Sus scrofa: one gene and its partners. Each later gene encodes a partner of the first gene's protein in a complex. Links are inferred from orthologs where the notes say so. Each region holds a gene or a part of one and is shown in the gene's direction. Other genes may lie near its edges. The genes, in order: TAF11, TAF8 and TAF13.

Region 1 (8,452 bases):
GTAGCAAATGGTACTGGGTTTTGTCTCCCCAGAAGAACTCCCTGGGAGTGAGTTCCCATTGTGGCTCAGGGGCTTACAAACTTTACTAGTACCCATGAGGATGCAGGTTTGATTCCCTAGCCTCCCTCAGTGGGTTAAGGATCTGGCGTTGCTGTAAACTGTGGTATAGTTCACAGATGCAGCTCAGATCCCATGTTGCTGTGGCTGTGGTGTAGGCCGGCAGCTGCAGCTCTGGTTCCACCCCTAACCTAGGAATTTCCATATGACGCACCTGCGGCCCCAATAAAGCAAAAAAAAGAAAGAAAGAAAGAAAAGAAAGAAAAAGAAAAGAAAAGAAGAAAGAAAATGAACTCCCTGGGAGAGTTCTCCTCTTAAACTGCTTTTTAAAATCTTCCTGTGTAGACCTGGGTTTGCACTCAGTGCTTAATACCTAACAATTTATTTGAGCCTTGGGCTTCTTTGGTCCAAGCTCACTCAAATTGAAGTTACATAAACTAATGTGGAACAAAAGCAAACCAAGCCATTTCTAAATGAACTTCCACTTCTTAGAAACCTCAAAAGAACAAGGAAGGAAAAGAAAACAGGCTATGAAAGTGCTGCTGAAACAACACATTTTACTCACAGTGACAAGGCACCTCCAATCCCCCCTTCAAGATGCACAAAAGTGACCTTTTTTTTCTCTCAATCCTTACAGCTCCAGATTCAAGTGTTTAACAACAGTCCTTGGAAAAGTTTAAAGCACCCCTCAGTTTCCTAAACAAGTTTTCCTAAACCTTTATTTTTTGATGAATAGACCCCTTGATGAACACTACATATGCCACTTAACAGACTAATCCAATGAGGTTCGCTACATGGAACCAGACTTTAAACTCCAAGCACAAAGGGGGCTGAAAGAAAAACATTTTGAACCTGATAAACCCAAAGACAATTTTAATATAAACGACAAAAGCCACGTCCTGCAGAGCCTGGTGGAAGATTCCAAGTTCCCAAAAGAAGGGAATCAAGAGAATTTCCTCCAGGGGAACCGCGAGATTCTGCAAGGCGTGGGAGTTTCTGCAGGAGATGAGGGAGATTTAAAACACATTTTTTTTTTTCCTCTAAAGTGGCTTGTGAGATACAACAGCTGGCACCCGCCAGCGGGCGAGGGTGCAGCCGGGCTGTGCCATGCGGCGGAGGCTGCCACCTGGGCACTCCCACCATTCTTCGCAGCTGGGTCAGGAGGCGAGATGAGAGGAACCCGAAGCCGCGCGGACCCGCACCGGTGCCCCCTGCCCCTTGGGCCGCCTGCCCTCGCCCTGGGGCAACCCGCAAACCCACCCCGCTAGGGTCTCTGGAGCCCCGATCTCTCTGGAGACCCAGGAGACGGGCGGGGGAAAGGGGATCTCCAGGCGGCTGCCGGGTATCGGAGCGTTACTCACCTGAGCAGACTGGACAGAGGATGGCTCGAGGAGCTTAGACCGCCGCCGCCGCTGCTGCCGCCCCCGGAGCTGCCGCCACCGCCGCCGCCACCCCCGAAGCCTGAGGAGAGCCGCTTCCCGGACAGCAGCTTCTCCACGGCCGGGAGGTGCCCGGTGCGGGCGGCCTCCAGCAGCTCCTGCTCTTTCCCCATCCCCAGGGCCGCCGCCCCCCGGACCTCCTCCCCGGGGCCGCCGCGGAGCCTGCTCTGGCTCCCAAACTTTCCGTCTCCGGGCAACGCACCCCCCAAACCGGCCGGGGACACCACCCCCTCCCCCCGCCTTTTCCCCCAGGAGCGCGTCACTTCCGGGATCCGGCGTCACGCGTCACCGCGCCCCTGCGCCCCGCCCCTTTGCCCACCTAGCTGGGCGGGGCTCGGAGGGCGGACACAGGTGGCTGGGGTCTGCGCCAAGTGGCCTTGGTTGAGCCGAGATTGTCCTCTCTGGGCGAGAGGAGGGTGTCGTGTGGTCACCTGCTGTACAAGTGGGAAGCTACAGATTCGCTCCACCTGTGCGCGCCTCCCGACGTGTTCTTCTTCCTCAAAGGTTTTGGGAGCTCGCAGGATAGGAAATACGGTAATTCATCCAGGCAATGTAGAAACAAAGAGAGAAATATGGCAACGCGCATCTACATTTCCAAGTCCATTCATTCAGCACGCATAAATTAAATACGTAATAGATGTGGGAACCTAGTAATACAGAGGTGAATAAAATGCCCCCTTCCGTACTTCAATGAGGGAAGAGAGGGAACTTTTAAAACAAAAATATCCCCACTTAATGCTCCCAACTCTGAAACGGTTCGTTAAAGCTAAACATTCAAAGGGAAGGCTTCTCTCCCAGTAGGATGTTTCCTCTTTCGATGACATTAACCAAGCTGATATTAAAGTCAAATGTGTGAAACCGACCCCGACCTTGAGTACTGGGGAATTGGAAAAATCATTCAACTGGGTAGAGATTATGTCTTTTGTTTCTGGTACTAGCATTGTTCCTGGCTCGAAGTAGGCGCTCAATCGTTGTGGAGTGAATAAGGAATTGGATAAATTCGGTTCAAGCTATAGGACTTTTCTTTTTTTTTTACGTTTTTGAGGAACAAAAGAGAAATGCTGGCAATTCAATGTAAACACAGGACCGCCGTCTCTGTCCAATTGTACTGCCTGAGTTTACCCGGTAGCCACAGGGAGTACAACGGAATTGAGTTTCCTCCCGTCCCCAAGATTTCTTCTGAGGAAAGAGAATGAAGGACAAGAGTTAACTGACATTGCGTTTTTAGAAAGACGGAAAGGAAAAAGACGCCCTTCAGTAAAAAGCGCAGCTGTCCTTTACAAATACTGGTTTCCCAGGGTGGAAAATACACAAACTGAGTTCAGTACCCTCAATTTTCCCTCTCCCCACCGCCACCAAATCAAAACGGAGCCCTGATGTCCTCTACACGCGCCTGTAAATGACCCCTCTAAGGAGCGGTGTGGGTGACGTCATCGCAACGCGACGACAGGAAGTGAGCTCCTGGGCTGCTGTGCTGCGCGGGGTCCCGAGCTCCTAAGCCCTCGATGTCCTTTCCCCTCTCCTTCTGACCGCGATGGATAATGCTTGCGAGTCGCCCGCGGAAAAAAGTGGAGAAACAGGGGAGGCAGATGAGATGGCTGCTGCTCCCGGGGCTCCCGGGGTTACGGACACGGACGGAATCCCGGAGGAAACGGATGGAGACGGAGATGGGGACTTGAAAGAAACCGCGGCTGAAGAAGGCGAGGTAGGGAGAGATGTGTCCATGAGGCCGGAGTTGTGTCAGTGGCTTCTCGACAGGCTTCCTGGTTGGTCCCAAGCTAGGATAGTCGAACTCACCCTGACTCTTTAGCTGTGCAGTCGCGGGGTTGCGGGGAGAGAGAAGACAAAAATCTTAGTACCGCTTAGGTTCTAAGGACCGAATACTGGATCAGCGTTTTTAATCCCTGCCCTTAGACATTTAAGCTTTTTCCCCACCACCAAGTTCCTGACCCAGCGGCCGGAAGTTCCCGGGCCAGGGATCGAACTGTCCCAGTGACAATCGCGGGATCCTTAACCTGCTGAGCCACCAGGGAACTCCTAAAGGAATTTCAAATAGCCTCTTGGTCTTCCTGGTGATGAAAATGGGGTTCATGCCACACTGAGACTTAAGACGAGAGCTAGAGCCCAGGCTTCCTAGAACCCTTTTCACCACAATATAGTTTCTTTAAGGTATTGCTTAAGCATAGTTATCATTATAGGTTACAAAGTTGTTAAAGGGAACTTGGAGGTAGTTACTACTTTAGTCACGTTGTTACCCGCTTGGGACATTTAACTCCTACCAGTGACCTTGGTGCTAATCTCCAAGGGTCACTGTGGCATAAACACACCAAATCTATCAATTGGGCCACCCAAGAGTTCAGCAGTGTTGCTTCCTGAGCATCAAAGGACCAGAATCTCAGTGTTCTCCGGGTTTCATTTCTAAAGATGAATCTTGAGGTCATAGAGCTAGAATTCCTGGATGAAGTTGTGTGAGATCATGGGTTAAATGAAAACAGCCTTTCAGGGCATGAAGTTGCATCAAAATATATAAAGTTGAGAACTTTTAGAAAAACATGGAGGAGTTCCCGTCGTGGCGCAGTGGTTAACGAATCCGACTGGGAACCATGAGGTTGCGGGTTCGGTCCCTGCCCTTACTCAGTGGGTTAACGATCCGGCGTTGCCGTGAGCTGTGGTGTAGGTTGCAGATGCGGCTCGGATCTTGAGTTGCTGTGGCTCTGGCGTAGGCCGGCAGCTACAGCTCCGATTCGACCCCTAGCCTGGGAACCTCCATATGCCGCAGGAGCGGCCCAAGAAATAGCAAAAAGACAAAAAAAAAAAAAAAAAAAAAAAAAAAGAAAGAAAGAAAAATATGGAGTTCCTTGGTGACACAGTGGTTAAGGATCTGGTGTTGTCACTGTAGCAGCTCCGGTCACAGCTGTGGCACATAATCAATCCCTGGCACAGGAACTTTCACATGCCATGGTTTGGCCAAAAGGGGGAAAATTTTAAATAAGTGGAAATGATATCAAAGACAGAATTTGAGTAATAATTAGCTTAGGACAGTAAAGAGCTCACTGAATACAGAAATTTACACCCAGCAGAAGATTAAAAAAAAAAAAATTTTCATGCTTCTGAAACACTTTTAAAAATTCATCATATACCATACCACAAAGAGAAGCATAATTATTTTTTTTTTTTTTGTCTTTTATCTTTTTAGGGCCACACCCGCAGCATATGGAAGTTCCCAGGCTAGGGGTTGAATCAGAGCTGCAGCTGCCAGCCTACACCACAGCCATAGCAACACGGGACCCTTAACACACTGGGTGAGAACAGGGATTGAACACACATCCTCATGGATACTAGTCAGGTTCGTTAACCACTGAGCCATGGCAGGAACTCCAGAAGCATAAATTCTTAAAAGTAGAAATCATAACAGGCCATATCCTGTTAGTACAATGCAATAAACCTGAAATTAACAATGCAAACTTCTCCCACCCCCATCCTGCCAAAAAACTAACACCTGAACACTTTAAACTATTTCTTAAAAGCCAGTGGATTAAAGAAATTAACAAAGAGAATACCACATCAAATCCTATGGGATTTTACCAAAACTTTATTTAAAGTTTAGTCCATAGCCTTACATATTTTAACTAGCAAACGAGAGATATTGAAAATAAGCACCTAACTCAAGAAACCATAAAGAGAACAAGATAAATCAGAAGGATGTAGCAGCAGGCAGATATTAATGAATAGTTCTTAAAAAAACAAACACTAAAATTAAGACCTGATTATTTGAGGGAGTTCCCATGTAGCTCAGCAGTAATGAAGCCAACTAGGATCTGGGAGGATGAGGGTTTGACGCCTTACCTCACTGAATGGGTTAAGGATCCACCGTTGCTATGAGCAGTGGTCTAGGTTGCAGACTGCACCATCGGATTTAGCTTTGCTGTGGCTGTGGTGTCGGCTGGCAGCTATAGCTCCAATTAGATCGCTAGTTTGGGAACTTCCAGATGCCACAGGTGTGGCCCTAAAAAAGACAACAACGAAAAAGACCTGATTGTTGAAATATAAAAGTACAACATTATGAAATAAGAAAGGGCTGTATGGACTGATATGGAGATATTTAAGCTTTAAGAAAACTGAATGTTAAAGTTTAGACCAAGTAATTTTGAAAATTTAAGAAAAATAGCCCATTTTTAAGAATATTGGAGTTCCTGTTGTGGCTCAGCGGTAACAAATCCAACTAGTATCCATGAGATGTGGGTTCGATCCCTGGCCCTGTTCAGTTGGTTGAGGATCTGGCATTGCCGTGAGCTGTGGTGTGGGTTTCAGATTCGGCTCAGATCTAGTGTTGTTGTGGCTGTGGTGTATGGTCGGCAGCTGCAGTTCTGATTTGACCCCTAGCCTGAAAACTTCCACATGGTTCGAGTATGGCCCTAAAAAGCAAAAAAAAAAAAAAAAAGAATATAAACCACCAAAATTGATGCACAAAGAGGTTAGAACATTTGTATAAATCAGTAACTAGAGAAGAAATTGAAAAGGTTATTAAAGATTTACTACCTTCATTCACTCTCATCTACTTCTCGTATTCCTGTATGAGTTGAATTGTGAGTTCCTCTGTAAGGAAAATAGAAGTTAAATCCCATTAATGAGGTTTTTTTGTATCCTTAGATTCTCTATTAAGTTGGAGAGGATGAAGTATGGATTTTGATTTTGTTGTTTTATTAAACACATTAAACATCTAGTATGAGTAAAACAATGTTAAATGCTTATGTGGGTAAAGAATGGCCATCATTAAAAAGTGTACAAATAACAAATGCTGAAAAAGTGTGAAGAAAAGGGAACCCTTCTACACTGTTGGTGGGAATGTAAATTGATGCAGTCACTATGGAAAACAGTATGGAGATTGCTCAAAAAATGAATAATAGAGTTGCCATATAATCCAGCAGTCCCACTCTGGGGAATATATCCAGACAAAACCATAATTTGAAAAGATATATGCACTGGTATGTTCATAGCAGGACCATATACAATAGCCAAGACATGGGAAAAAACCTAAATGTCCATCAACAGATAAATGGATAAAGAAGATGTGGGATGTATATACAATGGAATATTACTCAACCATAAAAAAGAATGAAATCATGCCATTTGCAGCAACATGGATGGACCAAGAGATTATCATACTAAGTGAAGAAAGAGAAAGACAAATACCATATGATATCACTTACATGTGGAACATATTATCAAATAGAAACAGACTCAAAGATACAGAGAACAGGCTTATGGTTGCTAAGGGGAAGCGGGGTCAGGGAGGGAAGGATTAGTAGTCTGGGATTAGCAGATGCAAACTATTATATGTAAAATGGATAAACAACAGGGTCCCACTGTATAGCACGGGGAACTATTTGATATCCTGTGATAAGCCATAATGAGAAAAATATGGAAAAGCATATATTATATATATATATGTATAGCTGAGTCACTTTGCTGTACAGCAGAAATTAACACAACATTGTAAACAACTATGTTTCAGTAAAATTTTTTAGATGCAAACTATTGCATTTAGAATGAATAAGTAATGAGTTTTTAATTTTTTTTGGTCTCTTTAGGGCCGCACCCCTGGCATACGGAGTTTCCCAGGCTAGGGGTTGAATTGGACCTATAGCCACAGCAACACAGAATCTGAACCGCCTCTGTGACCTACACCTCAGCTCACAGCCACACTGGATCCTTAACCCACCAAGTGAGGCCAGGGATCAAACCTGCGTCCTCATGGATGCTAGTCAGATTCGTTTCCACTGAGCCACCATGGGAACTCCAAAATTGTTTTAATTTTTAATGTTTATATGAGGAGAGATAAATAGACAAAACTGTCTTCAAGGGAGTTCCTGTTGTGGCGCAGCAGAAACAAATCTGACTAGGAACCATGAGGTTGCAGGTTCAATCCCTGGCCTCACTCAGTGGGTTGGGGATCTGGCATTGCCTGAGCTGTGGTGTAGGTCACAGACTCGGCTCGGATCTGGCATGGCTGTGGCTATGGTGTAGGCCAGCAGGTACAGCTCCAATTGGACCCCTAGCCTGGGAACCTCCATATGCCATGGGTGTGGCCCTAAAAAGAAAAAAAAAAAAGAAAAAACCATCTTCAAAAGTTCTGTCGGAGTTCCCTTGTGGCACAGTGGGTTAAGGATCTGATGTTGTCATGGCAGAGGCCCAGGTCGCTACTGTGATGTGGGTTTGATCCCTGGCCTAGAGAACTTCCATATGCTGTGGGTGCAGCCAGGAAAAAAAAAGTTCTCACAGTCTAGTAAAGGGAACTTAGTATTTGCATGATACAGAAGAATTGAGAGATAGCAAAGAGCACTACATGTGGGAGAAGCGCACTTAAAAGTTCCTAATTCAAAGAAACACTGCTTTGATGAGAAGGTGCCTCCTTTTTAATATTCTTTCCACATGGAATCATCATCAGTAAAGAGATCTATAGATTTAGAGGAAGAAGAGCTGGCCAGATTTCAAGCACTTTTCTGATATGCCCTCTAAAGAATGAGGTTAGAAGAGTAGATTCAGGGGGAGAGTGATTTTTCATGATCCTTGGCATTTCATTGCCCTTGTAAACAGACACTAGAACTATGATCATAGCTAACCTGGAAAACTGGATTATTTGGGTTTTCTTTCCACAGCTGGTCTATAAACTCCTTTAGGAGTGATAGTGTATCTTATACTTAATGGTACAACCAATACCTGGAACCAAAAAACTACGGAAATAAATGCTTTCGTTGTGTTGTACTGAGAATGATGTCTTCTTACCTTACCCAAATCTGGAAAGTAGGCCAAATATATAAAGGGTTTCTTTTGTCTTCTTAGCTCAAGAGTCAGGATATCTCAGATTTAACAGCAGTTGAAAGAGAAGACTCATCGTTACTTGCTCCTGCAGCCAAAAAATTGAAAATAGATACCAAAGAAAAGAAAGAGAAGAA
Region 2 (7,195 bases), about 6.4 Mb from region 1:
AAGGAAAGCCCTCGGGCCCTGGATGAGCCTGGGTCTCTGGGGAGAGCAGGACTGATGGACAGTGAGAGGGTGTGCAGCTGGACCTCGGAGTCATCACCTTCTTCAGACTCATTGAGCCCAGACTGGCGCTGCATCCTAGCCAGCGGTCCCCTTGGGAGAAGCTGCCATCTGGTCACAGCGCCCTCTGTCTTTGGACAGCAGAATCTCCTGGTCGAGGTTAGGTCCTCTCTTGCCTCAAGTTACAGAACAGAACCCTCAGCATGTCACCAGGGGGCGCAGCAGGACCAGCTGCTTCTGCCGCTCACTTAGAGCCACTTGAGCCTGAGCTTTTAGGTCAAGTTTTTCATATGATTTCCCCCCCTCCCCTGCAACTTCTGCTTCTTTTAAAGAACTTGGGAGGTGGAGTTCCCGTCGTGGCTTAGTGGTTAACACATCCAACTAGGAACCATGAGGTTGTGGGTTCGATCCCTGGCCTCGCTCAGTGGGTTAAGGATTCAGCATTGCTGTGAGCTGTGGTGTAGGTCGCAGATGTGGCTCAGATCCCGTGTTGCTGTGGCTCTGGCGTAGGTCGATGGCTACAGCTCCAATTAGACCCCTCGCCTGGGACACTCCATATGCCGTGGGTGCGGCCCTAGAAAAGGCAAAAAGACAAAAAATAAAGAAAGAAACTTGGGAAATAGAAGAGTGTAAAAATGGGAAAGAAACGCAATCACCCACATTCCCAGAAGCAGTTTGTAAAAACAATGAGGGGTTCCCTTGCGGTGCAGCAGGTTAAAGATCCAGTGTTGTCATTGGTGTGGTTCGAGTCGCTGCTGTGTTGTGGGGTCCATTGCTGGCTTGGGAAAAGGAAAACAAACAGTGAATAGAGTTCCCGTTGTGGCGCAGTGGAAACAAATCCAGCTAGTATCCATGAGGATGTGGGTTCTATCCCTGTCCCCGCTCAGCGGGTCAGGGATCTGGCACTGTCATGAGCTGTGGTGTAGGTTGCAGACACTGCTCAGATCCCATGTTGCGGTGGCTGTAGCATAGGCCGGCAGCTGTAGCTCTGATTCCACTCCTAGCCTGGGAACTTCCATATGCCACAGGTGTGGCCCTAAAAAACAAAAAAAACAGTGAGGGCGAACTCCCTGGTGGTCTTGTGGTTAGGACTCGGCGCTTTTACTGCTACAGCCTAGGTTCATGCCCTGGTCTGGGAACTGAGATCCCACAAGCCACTGCTCACCACGGCCAAATAAGTACATCAATAAAATTTAAAAAAAAAAACAAAAACAAATGAGCAGTGAAGGGCCTGTCCCATGGCCACAGGTGGGGACAGTGGGTGACGCTCCTGGGTTGCTGCTGGCACACACTGCTTTGCCTTGGTGGGAGTCCTCGGGGCTTCAGCAGTTTCTGGGCTCTGCTGGGGTGTGGTCGTTGGTGCCATGTTGCATGTACCAACTATTTGAGACTCTGGGGGAAAACATCATGATCTGTGAGCTTTGGTCCAGGAAGTGCCCTGGGCACACAATTCGTTCCAGTCCTGTACCTCAGTCCTTCGGGGCACTGGGGGCCGCTTCTCTTTTTCTTCATCTCCCCATGCACTGGGCTTCCTTCCTGAAGCATCTAAATCTTGATCCCCTGCGCCTCCTGGGTCTCTGTTCCTTCTAACTCGCATCCCTGCCCTCTCTGGAGATTCAGGGATCGGGGTTCTGTGCTCTCACCTTCCTCAGTGCAGCCGCTGCCTGGGGGGCAGAGATGAGCACATTAGCTAGAAGATGGTACCTGAGCTTCTAGCTTCTCCACAAAAGGGATGCAGTTCCCATCACGGGCATGGTCGTTGTCCTTATGCCGTTGGTCTTCTGCTTTATTTCGGCTTTTGCTCAAAGGATGATTCTGGAGCCGAGAAGGAGAACACCTCCGTCCTGCAGCAGAACCCCTCCTTGTCGGGGAGCCGGAACGGGGAGGAGAGCATCATCGATAACCCCTACCTGCGGCCCGTGAAGAAACCCAAGATCCGCAGGAAGAAGTGAGTTGGAGGCTGGGGCGCTCAGGGCCTCCCCGGCCACCCGAGGTGCCCTCTCCACCCCTTCTCCGGAGGGTCCGAACCCCCGGGGAGAGCTACTCTGGTGAGAGGAAGTGTTTTCCCTTCTCTCCGTCCTCGCCTCCCGCATGTACCGCTTGTAGCGTGGAGGTGGAGCGTCCTGCAGGGACCAGCCCTCTTGGCCAGCAGCTGTCCCCCACTCCCCAGAAGGAGAGCCGGCAGGGCCCCCTCCAGGCAGGCTCCATGGATTCCTCTTCTTTCTAGGTCCCTCTCGTGAGCTGAGAAGGAAGCCTGCCTTGTACAAAGACACAGACACCACCCTCCTGGGGGGAAGAAAGGGTGGCTGCCTTGGGGTCCAGCTGAGGCTGCCAGGCTCTGACCGGGCATGATTTTAATAGCAGACTCTCTATTAAGATTACCTGTTTTCACTGGATATTTGGGTTGAAGAAGACACGATAGTAACAATGAGGCTTTTTTTAAATTCACCAGGCTGTACCCTGGGGCATAGGAGCAGCCAGTGACTTCATTTATTATCATGGGATTTGATTCTTTGAAACCTGGATACCAGGGGAGGTGCCGGGAAAGGAAGGGCTTTGCCTCTTTTGCTCACTGCCAGACAGACTGGTGGCTTAGTTTGTATTTCAAGGCACCTGGACCCCTTTTATCGACTGACAGTTTGCAGCACCAAATTATCCTAGAACAACCGCTCCTCCTCTCCTCACCTGGGCTCCAAGGGCCCTGTTCCGCTGATCGAAGGTGACTTTCCCTCCTTTAACATGTTGGAAACAGGAGACCCACCCTTCATAGCCTGTGGGGCCGGCAGGAGTCAGGAGCAGACACGGTCACGGTCACGTGGAGGAGGCTGAGGCAGGAGGGCGGCATTGCCTCCCATCAGCTTGTGATGAGAGCTCCCTGTAGCAGGGCAGCGCCCTCTGCCGAGAGTTGTCCCTTACTGTCCCTCTAGGGAGCGTGTGCTTGGGAACGACCAAGTCCTGCCCCATCCCAGGAAAAGAGGTTTTCTTTGACAAGAGCCTACACCAGTGGATAGATCATGCTGTGACTTGACAGAGGAATCACTGATTTTACACAGTAGGAAAAGGATTTGATGGGGGTGGGTGGGGGGTGACAGGAGTGAGATTTTGAAGGCCGGGTTTGGCCTCATGTTCTGAAAGCCAAGAGACCTGGCTGGTCTGTTGGGCGGCCGGCTGGCTGGATGGCCATGTGCCCACTGACGGCAGAAGGGGGCTGAGAAGAGCCTGCAGGTCTGAATCTGTCCAACCTCCTTGCCCCCTGGGAGAGAAGACTTCATCCTTGATGCACCCTCCAAACCAGAAAAGGAAGATGCTGGGCAAGTGGGTACTTTTTAGCTCCTCTCCAAAGGAAGAGGTTTTAAAACCAAGTCAGAGGAAGAAAAATGCCAGTGACAGCTGAAAGTTAACGTGGCGTAAACACCAAGTTCCCTGGGTCAGCGCCCTAAGGACCATGCTGAGCTCCCTGGGTACTCGGCTTCCACAGTCATCTCTTAATCTTCTGTCCTCCTGGCAAATTTGAAAATTCAAAAAACCAAGCAGCTTGACAGCAAGTGCCACGTCCCTCTGGCCTCATTGTCCTCTGCGCACTTCATCCCGCTGGCCAGAAGGAAGGCGCTGCTCGTCAGTAACTGAACAGGGGATGCCGACGGAGAAAACTGGAGTCCCCAGCTCCGCACCAAATAAGAGATTTTCCAGTTGGTAGTGACCTGCCCCTCTTGCAGTTGAAAGTAAGTCCGCTTGGGCCTATGCTGCACCCTCCACGTCTGGCCTTTGGCTCTTGGTGAGGCTTGGCCTGATGTGTTTAAATAACGGCCCCAGGTTTGAGCCACGGCAGGTACAGGGCTGATACTTTCCCGGCTTGCTGCTCTCAGCCGCTCTCCGGAGCCGTCCCCCCAGCAGCTCCTCCACGACGCCCGTCGAATGCTGTTATGCTGAAGGATGAGGGAGGACGTGGAAAAGAAGTGCCATTTCTGCTGCTGCTGCTTCAGAGGCCACCCTGTTCTGGATGAGACATGGGGAGATGGTCAGACAGCCTGCAACACTGACGTGACTGTTGTGTAAAAACGCTGCGTAATCCTCAATGTATATTTATATATTTTTATTTTTTATAACTTTAGGGGAATGGGTGGAGGGGAAAAGTAGTAAACAGAGCCAGATTAAGAATGTGATTTATGAGCGCTTAATAAAGGTCATAATAAAAATCCTAAGTGAAACAGAATGGTAAGCTCTGAACTCAATGTGTGCGCACAAGTGATAGCAATGAGTGAGGCGGCATTCAGAGACAGAAGGCTGAGACTTAGGTTGGACACGGTACCCTTTCAGGAGTTCCCGTTGTGGTGCAGTGGAAACGAATCCAACTAGACACCATGAGTTGCGGGTTCGATCTCTGGCCTCGATCAATGGAATAAGATCTGGAGTTGCCACGAGCTGTGGTTTAGGTTGCACACGCAGCTCGGATCTAGTGTGGCTGTGGCTGTGGCGTAGGCCGGCAGCTGTGGCTCCGATTGGACCCCTGGCCTACCTCCATGTGCTGCAGGTGCAGCCCTAAAAAGAAAAAAAAAGGGAAAAAGTACCCTTTCAAACTGTCTAAAACTTTTCATTTGGGACCTCTGCAAACACAGAGCTAGAGAGGAAAGCACACATTCGTTTTCCCTGTATATTCTTCACCCAGCTTCAACACTTGACATCATTTCAATTCTGTTTCGTCTATTTCTTCTACATCTTTTATTTTTTATTCCTGGAGTATTTTTAAAAACCAATCTTGGAGTTGCCGTTGTGGCTCAGTGGAAACGAACCCAACTGGAATCCATGAGGATGTGTGTTCATCCCTAACCTCACTCAGTGGGTTAAGGATCCAGCGTTGTTGTGAGCTGTGGTGTAGGTCACAGCCGAGGCTCGGATCCCAAGTTACTGTGGCTGTGGTGTAGGCCAGCAGCCTGGGAACTTCCATATGCCGCAGGTACAGCCCTAAAAAGAAAAAATAAAACAAACCCCAAACCGAAGAAAACCAATCTAAGAACTATGTCATAGAGTTCCCAGTGTGGCACAGCAGATAAAGGGTCTGGCATTGTCTCTGATTCAGTGTGGGTTTGGTCCCCAGCCAAGCACTGTGGGTTAAGCATCTGGTGTTGCCCCAGCTGTGGCTCAGATTCAGTCCCTGGCCAGGGAAATTCCCTATGCCCCGATGTGGCAAAAAAGCAAAAACCAAAACATGTAGTCTATGAATACATTATTATGCATCTCTAATAGACTTAATTTTTTTTTTTTAAAAAACAGCTGCACCTGCGGCATATGGAAGTTCCCAGGACTAGGAGTCAGCCTACACCACAGCCACAGCCTTGATGGGTCTGAGCCATATCTGACCTATGCCGAAGCTTGCTGTGCTGTAGCTTGTGGCAACGCTGGATCCTTAACCCACTGAGTGAGGCCAAGGATGGAACCTGCATCCTCACAGATATTTGTTGGGTTCTTAACCTGCTGAGCCACAACAGTAATTCCTGGTTACACTTTCAAAGCAACATGGTAGATTGGGATTGATTCACTTTTCCCCCAAAACCACTTCCACTCCCCAGTTTTCACAGCAGCAGCTGGCCCTGGAATACTTGCCTCAGGCCGGGACCACAGCCTCTGCAGCATCATCTCATCCTCAGACAGTCTGGACCCCTCATCCTTCATCTGCGTCTGATCACTCACCAAATTCTGCCACCTCTTCCCTCCTTGCCGGTCTGAGGCTGCAGCAGCCTCCTGCTCTGCCCCAGCCCCTGTCCCTCTCCAGGCCCAGCTTTCCACAAGCCCCAGCTTCGTCCTTCCTCCCCCGCTCCCCACACTAGGACCTCTAGTCCATCCCTGCGCCCATCCACACCATGTCCAAACTGCCCAATCCAACTGGCCAGGTCCTCTGCCGATTCACCGTTTCTTTTCAATAACTCCTATTTCTTTGATTTATCCGACAAGTGCGGATCTACTGCCTTCTATGTCTGTGAGGCCCTGTGCCAGGCTCTAAGAATTAAGTCAACAGACAGACGTGGCCCCCGCCCTCCTGGGAATCCATTCTAGTGGGAAAACATACAAAGAAAAAATCATTACAGATTGTGGAGAAGTGCTGAGGCCGTAAACGGGGTCTGTGTGCCCGGAGGGGAGACGGCCACCCTCATCACTGCTGCTGCCTATGCTTTTCTCCCTGTCACCTCCTCAAATCTTTTTTTAACTGAAAAAAGTTTTTTTTCTTTTAACAGCCACACATGCAGCATATGGAAGTTCTCAAGCTAGGGATGAAAGACCTACAGCCTATGCCACAGCCACAGCACAACCAGATCCAAGCCACATCTGGGACCTACACCACAGCTACCCGGCAATACTGAATCCTTAAACCCAAGGCTCAAGGCCAGGGATCTAACCTGCATTCTCCCAGATCTAGTCGGTTTCTTAACGCACTGAGCTACAGCGGGAACTCCACCTCCTAAAATCTGGCCTGTCCTTCCAGCCTCCATATCCTCCCTCCAGATAAGATGGATCCTTCCCCTCTTCATTCACGCATTCAACAAATATGTGTTGAACGATCATGTACCCGCGCCAAGTCCAACACTGGGATGTGATAGATATAACTAAGCTGCTATGTTCTCTGACCTTATGGTCTCACTGGGGCCAGACAGCTCACAAACATCTTGTCAGAGGGTGAATCGGGGTCTCGAGAGAAAAGCCACAGTGTTCTCAGGTTGGGTAACTTGAGGAAGGGTTAATGAAGAGATTGCCTCCAAAGGTGTGGAGGAACACAGCACAGGTAGCTGGACCTGGTGGGTAACAGGCAGCGGAGGAAGCAGTTACCAGAATCTGGAGCAAGGCCAATGTCAGACCCTTCTGCCAGGACCTGTGGCCAGGGGTCGCCGAGGGGTCAGTGGGTGGATCTGGAGGGGCAGGTGGAAGGGGCTGGGGGGGTGCTGTGGTTTTTTTTGTTTTGGTTTGGGCTTCCCCTCTTCCCCACAGCACATGGAGTTCCCAGGCCAGGGATCAGATCTGAGATGTAGTTGCAACCTAAGCCGCAGCTGTGGCATCACCAGTTCCTTAACCCACAGTGCTGGGCCGGGGAATCGAACCTGGGTCCCAGCGCTCCCAAGACACGACCAATCCCGTTGCACCACAGCAG
Region 3 (8,333 bases), on another chromosome or scaffold:
AGTGTTCATTGTTTTAAACCACTAAGTTTGGGGATAATTTGTTACACAGTAATAAATAACCGATAGACCTAAGTACCCACATAACTAAAAAGTATAATGTCCTAACTATAATATAAAGGTAAAATAAAGACAGTAAATTATAATAATATGCATTTTGATATATGAATATATATTAAATATATTTATAAATATATAAATATATTTATAAATATATATAAATGACTAGCTAGAGGGTATAATGATCTCAGATGCTTGCACGTATATGTAGAGTCCCCGTGAATGCAAGGAGCTACAAATGCAGACTGATTCCAGTGCATATTGGCTACCCAAATTATTACAAGTGATGTGGCTTTTCATGACATTATTTCCTGAGTAGTTCACAGCTCTTGGTGAGATGCAAACAAAACAAAGTACTATCTCTGTCCAATTTCAGGGTAGTTGCTGTTTTGGGGGGAAATTCCCAGTTCTTTCTTTTCTATGTATCTTTCTCCATTACTTTCACACAGAACACTTCCTTTCTGGTGACCAAATATGTGGCGTATCCCCCCCGACGCATACACACACACAGCAAACAATTGTGTGACCTCAGGTGGGTGTCCTGCAGTTTAACTCAATGCTGACACTGTTGAGCTGGAGAGAGTGTAAGATCCCACTGATGAAGGGCTTAGTCCCACTAGACTGCTCCCAATTTTAGATGCCAATCACAAGTAGTAAGCCCCCAGGTTACCCCCAACTTCTGTCTGACTGGACTACAAATCAGAGGGTCCCATGACCTCCTCCCCCCTTGGATTTGGTTATTTCGTAGAACAGCTCACAAAACTCGGGGAGACATGTTTACCAATTTAATTAAAGGATATGATAAAGGATACAGATAAAGAGACACACAGGGCGCTCTTTGGGAGGGTCCTGAGCACAGAACTTCTGCCTCCATGGAATTAAAGTGCATCAACCTCCAGGTAAGTGGATGTGTTCCCCAACCTGGAAGCTCTCTGAACCCCTTACCGTTGGAGTTGTTATGCCTTGAGTAGGCATGATCGATTACTAACTCCATTTCCAGTCCTCTCCTCTCTCTAGAGAATTGGGAGGGTAGTGGCAGGGAAGAGGCCTGAAAATTCCAAGGTTCTAATCAAGGTTTGGTCATTTTGGTGACTAGTCCCTATCTAAGAGCCGTCCAGGAGCCCACTCAGAGATGCCTTTTTAGAACAAAGTTGTGTTCTTATCACTTAGGAATTTACAGGGGTTTTAATAGCCCGGTGTGTGTGCATAGAGGAGGTGTGGGATGGATGTCAAAGACCAGATATTAGAACAGGAGATGCTCCTAGTGCTCTTATCACTTAACAAATTACAAGGGTTTTAGGAATTCTGTGACAAGAAAGGGAGTGCGGTTGAGACATATATATATATATATATATATATATATATATATATGCATTCCTAGGAAATTCAGTGTGGGAGTTCCCTAGTGGCTCAGTAGGTTAAGGATCCAAACAAAGAGATACAGGGAGTTCCCTTTGTGGCTCAGCAGTTAATGAATCTGACTAGCATCCATGAGGACACAGGTTCAACCCCTGGCCTTGGTCAGTGGGCTAAGGATCTGGCGTTGCCGTGAGCTGTAGTGTAGGTTGCAGATGTGGCTCGGATCCTGTGTTGCTGTGGCTGTGGTGTAGGCCAGCAGCTAAAGCTCCAATTGGACCCCTAGCCTGGGAACCTCAATATGCTGCGAGTGAGAACCTAAAAAGCAAAAATAAATAACAAAAAAGCCCAAATGCAAACACAAAGCATTTTCCTGTGTTTTTAAGGTACATTGAATTTTCTTTCTTTTGTGGTGGGGTGGGCAGCAGTGACAAGGCTGGATCCTTAACTGCTAGGCCACTAAAATGCCAGTGTTTATATATTAACAGTTATGTTCTTGGCCCAGATAATTATGAACTGATTTTTCACTCACAGGAATGTTAAGAACATTCAGAAATAATGTAGTTTGGGAGTTCCTGTTGTGGCCAAAACGAATCTGACTAGTAACCATGAGTATGCAGGGTTCCATCCCTGGCCTTCTCTGTGGGTTAAGCATCTGGTGTTGCTGTGAGCTTGGGTGTAGGTCACATAGCAGCTTGGATCTCAATTTGCTGTGGCTGTGGCATAGGCCTGCAGTTCTAGTCTGATTCAACTCCTAGCCTGGGAACTTCCATATGCCTCAAGTATGGCTCTAAAAAAAAAAAAAAGAAAGAAAGAAAAAAAGAAATAGAGTATTGTGGGGTAATCTTTCCCTGTGTGGCCTTGCATTGCAGAACAGCTTAAACACCTAGCTTTATTTAGCCTTCTAAAATCCATGGTTTTCCCAAAGTTCTGATTAAACAAACAAACAAACAAAAACGCCCCACAAAAGTTAAGTCCCCAGTCTAAGGGATGATAACACCCCCTTGAGAACTGCTTTCAAAGTACATCCTCAGTAACCAATACAGACCTTAGTAATAAATAACAGTGGAACTCTGAGGGGCTGAAGATGTTTAAACGAACCCCTAGCTAGCCCTGAACGATACATAGCTTCGCAGTCGAATCAGGAAGCAGAAATCCGACGTACGGAAGCAAGAGATACACGCCACCTTGCCCGAGATTTCCTTTTTCCTTGCTAATTTTTAATTTTTTCTTGACAAGACGTCATCCTCAACTAAGTGCCCTCTCGGTCCGGCCGCTAGGTCGGACGAGCTGCTGTCCCCTGCGCAGGCGGGGTCGCGACTAGGCCCCGCCCCGGCTCTGCGCGTCACCGGAAGTGAGGTAGCGGAAGTGATAAAACCCGCTGGGTGGTAGGCAGGCGAGTCCGGGAGGCGGCTGGCTGGTGGGATGGCAGATGAGGAGGAAGACCCCACCGTGAGTGACCACTTGTGTTCCAGCCCACGTTTTTCTGCACTCTTTCGGGCACTTATAGCGGAGGCACAGTTTAGAACTGGAGCTTTTTTCCGTAGTGTTTTCAGAGGAGAGCATCAGAGACTTTGCTTCATACTAGCCTTTCCCTTCAGATTCATCTTTTTGGTACGCGGGGCGGGAAGAGTGGGAGCGTGGCTCCCTGCCTGCCCTTTGCTTTTGGTCCATGTTTGCCAGACACTCTCTGAAACATCTAGAGAATCATCAGAGGACAAAGCTAGTATGTTAGCGCTCATTATGAACCGTCAATTCAACTGCTAACAAAACTATATACTTATTGTAAAATAGTGGAAAAATAATGGACTCAGAGTCAGGGAACATGGATTTCAAAATCTCTTTTCTCTGTGAGCAGGTTATTTGAGCCTCGGTTTTCACATCACAAAATGGGATTAAGGCTTCCTTGAGGAACGTTCTTAGGGCTGTGTTAGCAGTGCTTAGTAACTTAGTTTTGCTTGCTTTAATTCAGTATCAACTCCTTTACTAGCAAAACTGTCTAGAAATAGGCCAGCTTAGTTGGTTTAAAAAAAAAGAACGGTGTGGGGAGTTCTTTGTGGGCAACAGGTTAAAGATCCAGCGTTGTCACTGCAGCGGCTTGCGGCGCTGCTGTGGCGCGGGTTGGATCCCTGACCAGGGAACTTCCACATGCCTTGGGCTCGGTAAAAAACAACAACAACAACAAAAATATGGTATTGGAACTTTTCCAGGAGAGACACTACGGTTATTATGGATATTGTAGAAGCCATTCCTGCATGAGTCTGAAGTTGGACTGATAGTTTTTAAGGCCTCTGAAATTCTAAGGTTTCATGGGGTTTTGCTGCCTGCTTTAGGCTTTCAGGCATGATATCATTGTTGAAGGTGGGGAAAAAATGTTAATTATTTAAAAGTCCAATGCAGTGCTTGACATCTCTATGTATACATTTTAACTTCTAGTTTGAGGAAGAAAGTGAAGAAATTGGAGGAGGTGCCGAAGGTGGACAGGGTAAAAGAAAGAGACTTTTTTCTAAAGAATGTAAGTAGTATTTGGCAATGATTTCGTTATAGATAAAAACCTTTGGAAATGTCTGTTCAAAGTAGACTTACTGTTCTGAATGTGTTTCCTTGTAGGGACAATATTGTCAGACTTAGCTGTAAATTTTGTTTAACCTGTGAACCATAGTAATGATTCTTACCCCAGTGTATGTATTTATATATGTATATGTATGTATATGACACACTTTTTTTTTTTTTTTTTTTTAAAGAAATGTGGGAGTTCCTATCGTGGTGCAGGGGAAACAAATCCGACTAGGAACCACGAGGTTTTGGGTTCAATCTCTGGCCTTGCTCAGTGGGTTAAGGATCCAGCGTTGCCATGAGCTGTGGTGTAGGTCATAGACATGGCTCAGATCCTGTGTTGCTGTGGCTGTGGTATAGCCCAGCAGCCATAGCTCTGATTTGACCCCTAGCCTGGGAACTCCCATATGCCATGGGTGTGGCCTTAAAAAGCAAAAAAAAAAAAAAAAGAAAGAAAAAAGAAATATGATCAGTGTTTCAATTCAGTACCTCTGTTACTTTTTCTGTCCCTTACCTGTGCAGTAGTAGGAGCAGGGACTCCTTTGATTGTAAGCCAAAGGTTATGTTGGCTCCTGGAACAGGTGCTGAGAATAGGAATTAAGTTGGGGCTTTGGACTAAGGCAGTGGACAAGGAAAGTGAACAGTGTGAGGCAGTCCAGTGGCATAGAGATAATAAGGTTTTGGTTCTCTGTTCTACTCTCTGAGTAGAGAGCTTTACCCTTTTTGGCAGCAGCAAGGAGAGCAGCTGCTGCTGCTGCTGATCCAGGCCAGCCCTTGAAAGGCACCATGAGAATGTGCGGGCTCTCTATCTCCCAGTCCCAGTCCTTTTCATGTAACATGGCTGACCTGATGAGGCAGCGCCTGAATACTTTGTTTACTTATGCTGGTTTGCATGTAAGCAGTTCCTAAATGCTCTTGAAACTGCAGAGTCAGTATGTCTTTTTCTTCCTTAACCATTCAAATCCCTTGTTATATCAGTTTCTCATTGAAAGTGGACCACTCCTGGAGTTCCCATTGTGGCTTAGTGTAACAAACCTGCCTAGTATCCGTGAGGATGAAGGTTCGATCCCTGACCCCGCTCAGTGGGTTGGGATCCAGCGTTGCCATGAGCTGCAGTGTAGGTCGCAGCCAGGCTGAGCTGACGTTGCTGTGGCCGTGGCATAGGCTGGCAGCTGTAGCTCTGATTCTACCCCTAGCCTTCGAACTTAATATGCCACAGATGTGGCCCTAAAAAGCAAAAAAAGAGAAAGTGGATCACCTCTTATTCTATCTCTGATGTTGTTTACTCCATTTGTATGTGGGTTTGCTTCTCTTTCTAAAAAAATTTTTTGGATTGCAGTCTATTGTCAGTTTCTGCTACACAGCAAAGTGGCCGAGCCATACATCCGTATACATTCTTTTTTTTTTCACATTATCCTCAATCATGTTCCAACACAAGTGGTCAGATATGGTTCCCTGTGCTATACAGCAGAATCTCACTGTTTGTCCACTCTAAATGCAATAGTTTACACCTACTGACCCCAACCTCCCTGTCCCTCCCCCTCCCTCTTATGGTTGGTTTTGCTTCTTATGTTTCCATAAGAAAGGGATTCCATATCAGAGTGTCCCATAGTGATGATTATATAGTCAGTTCTTACCAGAAGCCTTTGTTCCACTTGGATTGCTTTGTTTTGTGATGACAAGAGTTCAGAATCTTCGAAGCCTTTTCCTTGTCTTACCTGAATCTTCATATACCTTCCTGAACAAGATCTGTTCCTAAACCTTTTTTTAAAAACGTTTTTTTTGCCAATATAACACAAAGTTTCAAAGCATTCACTGCTGGTTTTTATATCCTTACAGTCTCTATTTATTTATTTATTTATTGTCTTTTTAGGGCCGCAGCTGAAGCATATGGAGGTTCCCAGGCTAGGGGTTAAATCGGAGCTGCAGCTACTGGCCAACACCACAGCCACAGCAGCGCTGGAGTGCAGCTGCTGGCCTATGCCACAACCACAGCAATGCTGGATCCAAGCTGTGTCTGTGGCCTACACCACAGCTCACAGCAACACCGGATCCTTAACCCACTGAGCAAGGCCAGGGATCAAACTCATGCCCTCATAGATACTAGTAGGGTTCATTAACCACGGAGCCACAATGGGAACTCCTTTACAGACTCTTTAATCAAAACAGTTTACAAACTTCCCATCTAAGTTTTTCCTTTTCCAGTGAAGTGTATTTCCCTACTGATGAATTCTTCTCATCAAAATGTTAATGACAAGATATCTTCCTCAGAACATTTAAGGAAAAAATTACGTTTGCAGTGGAGAATCCTGGCATGCATTACTTTAGCAAGTCATCAAAGTTTACATTACTAGTAATGTATGTTGGCATTATGTACTCATGATATGAGGCATTAAGAGGTACATCATCTCGGTGTACCCTTTCTAGTAATGCATAATCACAACCTAACCATGAGTGAACATCAGACAAACCCAAACTGAAGGACATTCTACAAGATAACTGACCAGTATTCTTCAGAAGCATCAAGGTTCTAAAAGACAAGGAAAGTCTGAGGAACTGTTGCACAACAGAGGAAACCAAGGAGGCATGACAGCTGAATAGTGTGTGATCCTAGAACAGAAAAAGTACATGAGTGGAGAAACTGGTACTTGTACCACTGTTAATTTCTTAGTTTTGAGAAATATCTTTGGTTATATAAGATGTTAACATAAGGGGAAACTGATAGAGGCATTGGGGAACTTGGTACTACTTTTGCAACTCTTCTCTAAGTCTGAAATTACCTATTTAAAAAAGGTGGGGGCAATGTTCAGAATCCAGAAAAGAGAGGGGAGAAAATACTGGCTCCTGTGTTTGTTTTCTCCCTCCTGTATCTGGGCCTAGAGACTTTTGCCAGAATAAACCCTAGGGTACTTCTCTATCCCAGGCTGGCTTCCAAAGTTACCCTTTCTTTTCATCTGCAGGCCTTGTCTACTCTTTTCTCCTAAATAGGAATTGCTCTTAATGTACTCATTCCTGCTTTTAGAAGTGTTCTAGGAGTTCCTCTTTTTTTTTTTTTTTTTTTTTTTTTGTCTTTTTGCCATTTCTAGGGCCACTCCTGCGGCATATGGAGGTTCCCAGGCTAGGGGTCTAATCGGAGCTGTAGCCACTGGCCTGCGCCAGAGCCACAGCAACTTGGGATCTGAGCCACATCTGCAACCTACACCACAGCTCACGGCAACGCCGGATCGTTAACCCACTGAGCAAGGGCAGGGACCGAACCCGCAACCTCATGGATCCTAGTCAGATTCGTTAACCACTGCGCCACGACGGGAACTCCTTTTTTTTTTTTTTTTTTAATGTAAAACTTATATACAATAAATTGTACTAGTCTTGGAGTTCCTGCTGTGGCTCAGCCACTTACAAACCCGACTAGTATCCATGAAGACATGGGTTTGATCCCTTGCCTCGCTCAGTGGATTACAGATCCGGTGTTGCCGTGAGCTGTGGTGCAGGTCGAAGCTGCGGCTTGGATCCAGCCTTGCTGGAATAGGCAGGCAGCTGCAACTCTGATTTGACTCCTAGCCTAGGAATTTCCGTATGCCACGGTGTGGCCCTAAGAAGCATAGATAGATAGATAGATAGACAGACAGATAGGACTAGTCTTCAGTGAATAGCTTGATGAATTTTACATATATATATATATATATATACATATATATATATATACACTTGTAACCACTAGTCAGATCAGGATATGAAACATTTCTAACATGTGACAGTTTCTTAGTATATACACCTTTGAGAATCTTATGAGTTGATTTTTCTTCCCAGAAAAACACACACACTCAAATAATGTTTAAAATTTTTTTGCATATAATTTCATTAGAGTCCCCTGACTTCTCAAAGCTTATCCATGAACTAACTGGGAGTTTATAGACTGTAGGATAAGAATCCATATGGCTCCCATCTTCCCTAAACTACCAAGAAGGGTAATCCTGTTGTGGGAAGGAGTATAGACTCTGGAGCCAGATCATCTGGATTCAAACTCAGTTTCCATCTCACTATCTTATGACCTTGGATAAATCATTTACCTATGTGCCTCAGTTTCCCCATCTATGTAGACTGGGGATAATAATAGTTTTTGCTTCAAAGAATTGTTGTGGCGATTAAATGAGTTTAGTCTTTTTTTTTTTTTTTTTTGTCCTTTTAGGGCCTCACCCTCGGCATATGGAGGTTCCCAAGCTGGGGGTCTAATTGGAGCTGTAGCTGCCAGCCTACACCACAGCTGCAGCAACACCAGATCCGAGCTGCATCTGTGACCTACACCACAGCTCCTGGAAACACTGGAACCTCAACCCACTGAGCAAGGCCAGGGATCGAACCCG

The links.
Region 2: TAF11 (region 1) and TAF8 share a complex: the UniProt entries of both Homo sapiens proteins name them as parts of the TFIID basal transcription factor complex. The link is inferred for Sus scrofa from reciprocal best matches to the Homo sapiens genes TAF11 and TAF8.
Region 3: TAF11 (region 1) and TAF13 share a complex: the UniProt entries of both Homo sapiens proteins name them as parts of the TFIID basal transcription factor complex. The link is inferred for Sus scrofa from reciprocal best matches to the Homo sapiens genes TAF11 and TAF13.

The regions. Positions count from the first base shown.
Region 1 is NC_010449.5:30,806,248-30,814,699, reverse strand, and holds the start of TAF11 (transcription initiation factor TFIID subunit 11), read left to right. Parts: upstream 1-2,931; 5' UTR 2,932-3,030; coding exon 3,031-3,201; intron 3,202-8,339; coding exon 8,340-8,452. Other genes in the region: ANKS1A (ankyrin repeat and SAM domain-containing protein 1A), read right to left, coding at 1,419-1,609. UniProt on the Homo sapiens protein: The TFIID basal transcription factor complex plays a major role in the initiation of RNA polymerase II (Pol II)-dependent transcription.
Region 2 is NC_010449.5:37,200,434-37,207,628, forward strand, and holds the end of TAF8 (transcription initiation factor TFIID subunit 8), read left to right. Parts: intron 1-1,865; coding exon 1,866-2,005; coding exon of another isoform or gene 2,006-2,009; exon of another isoform or gene 2,010-2,284; coding exon 2,285-2,297; 3' UTR 2,298-4,270; downstream 4,271-7,195. UniProt on the Homo sapiens protein: The TFIID basal transcription factor complex plays a major role in the initiation of RNA polymerase II (Pol II)-dependent transcription.
Region 3 is NC_010446.5:110,978,026-110,986,358, forward strand, and holds the start of TAF13 (transcription initiation factor TFIID subunit 13), read left to right. Parts: upstream 1-2,790; 5' UTR 2,791-2,838; coding exon 2,839-2,865; intron 2,866-3,849; coding exon 3,850-3,928; intron 3,929-8,333. UniProt on the Homo sapiens protein: The TFIID basal transcription factor complex plays a major role in the initiation of RNA polymerase II (Pol II)-dependent transcription.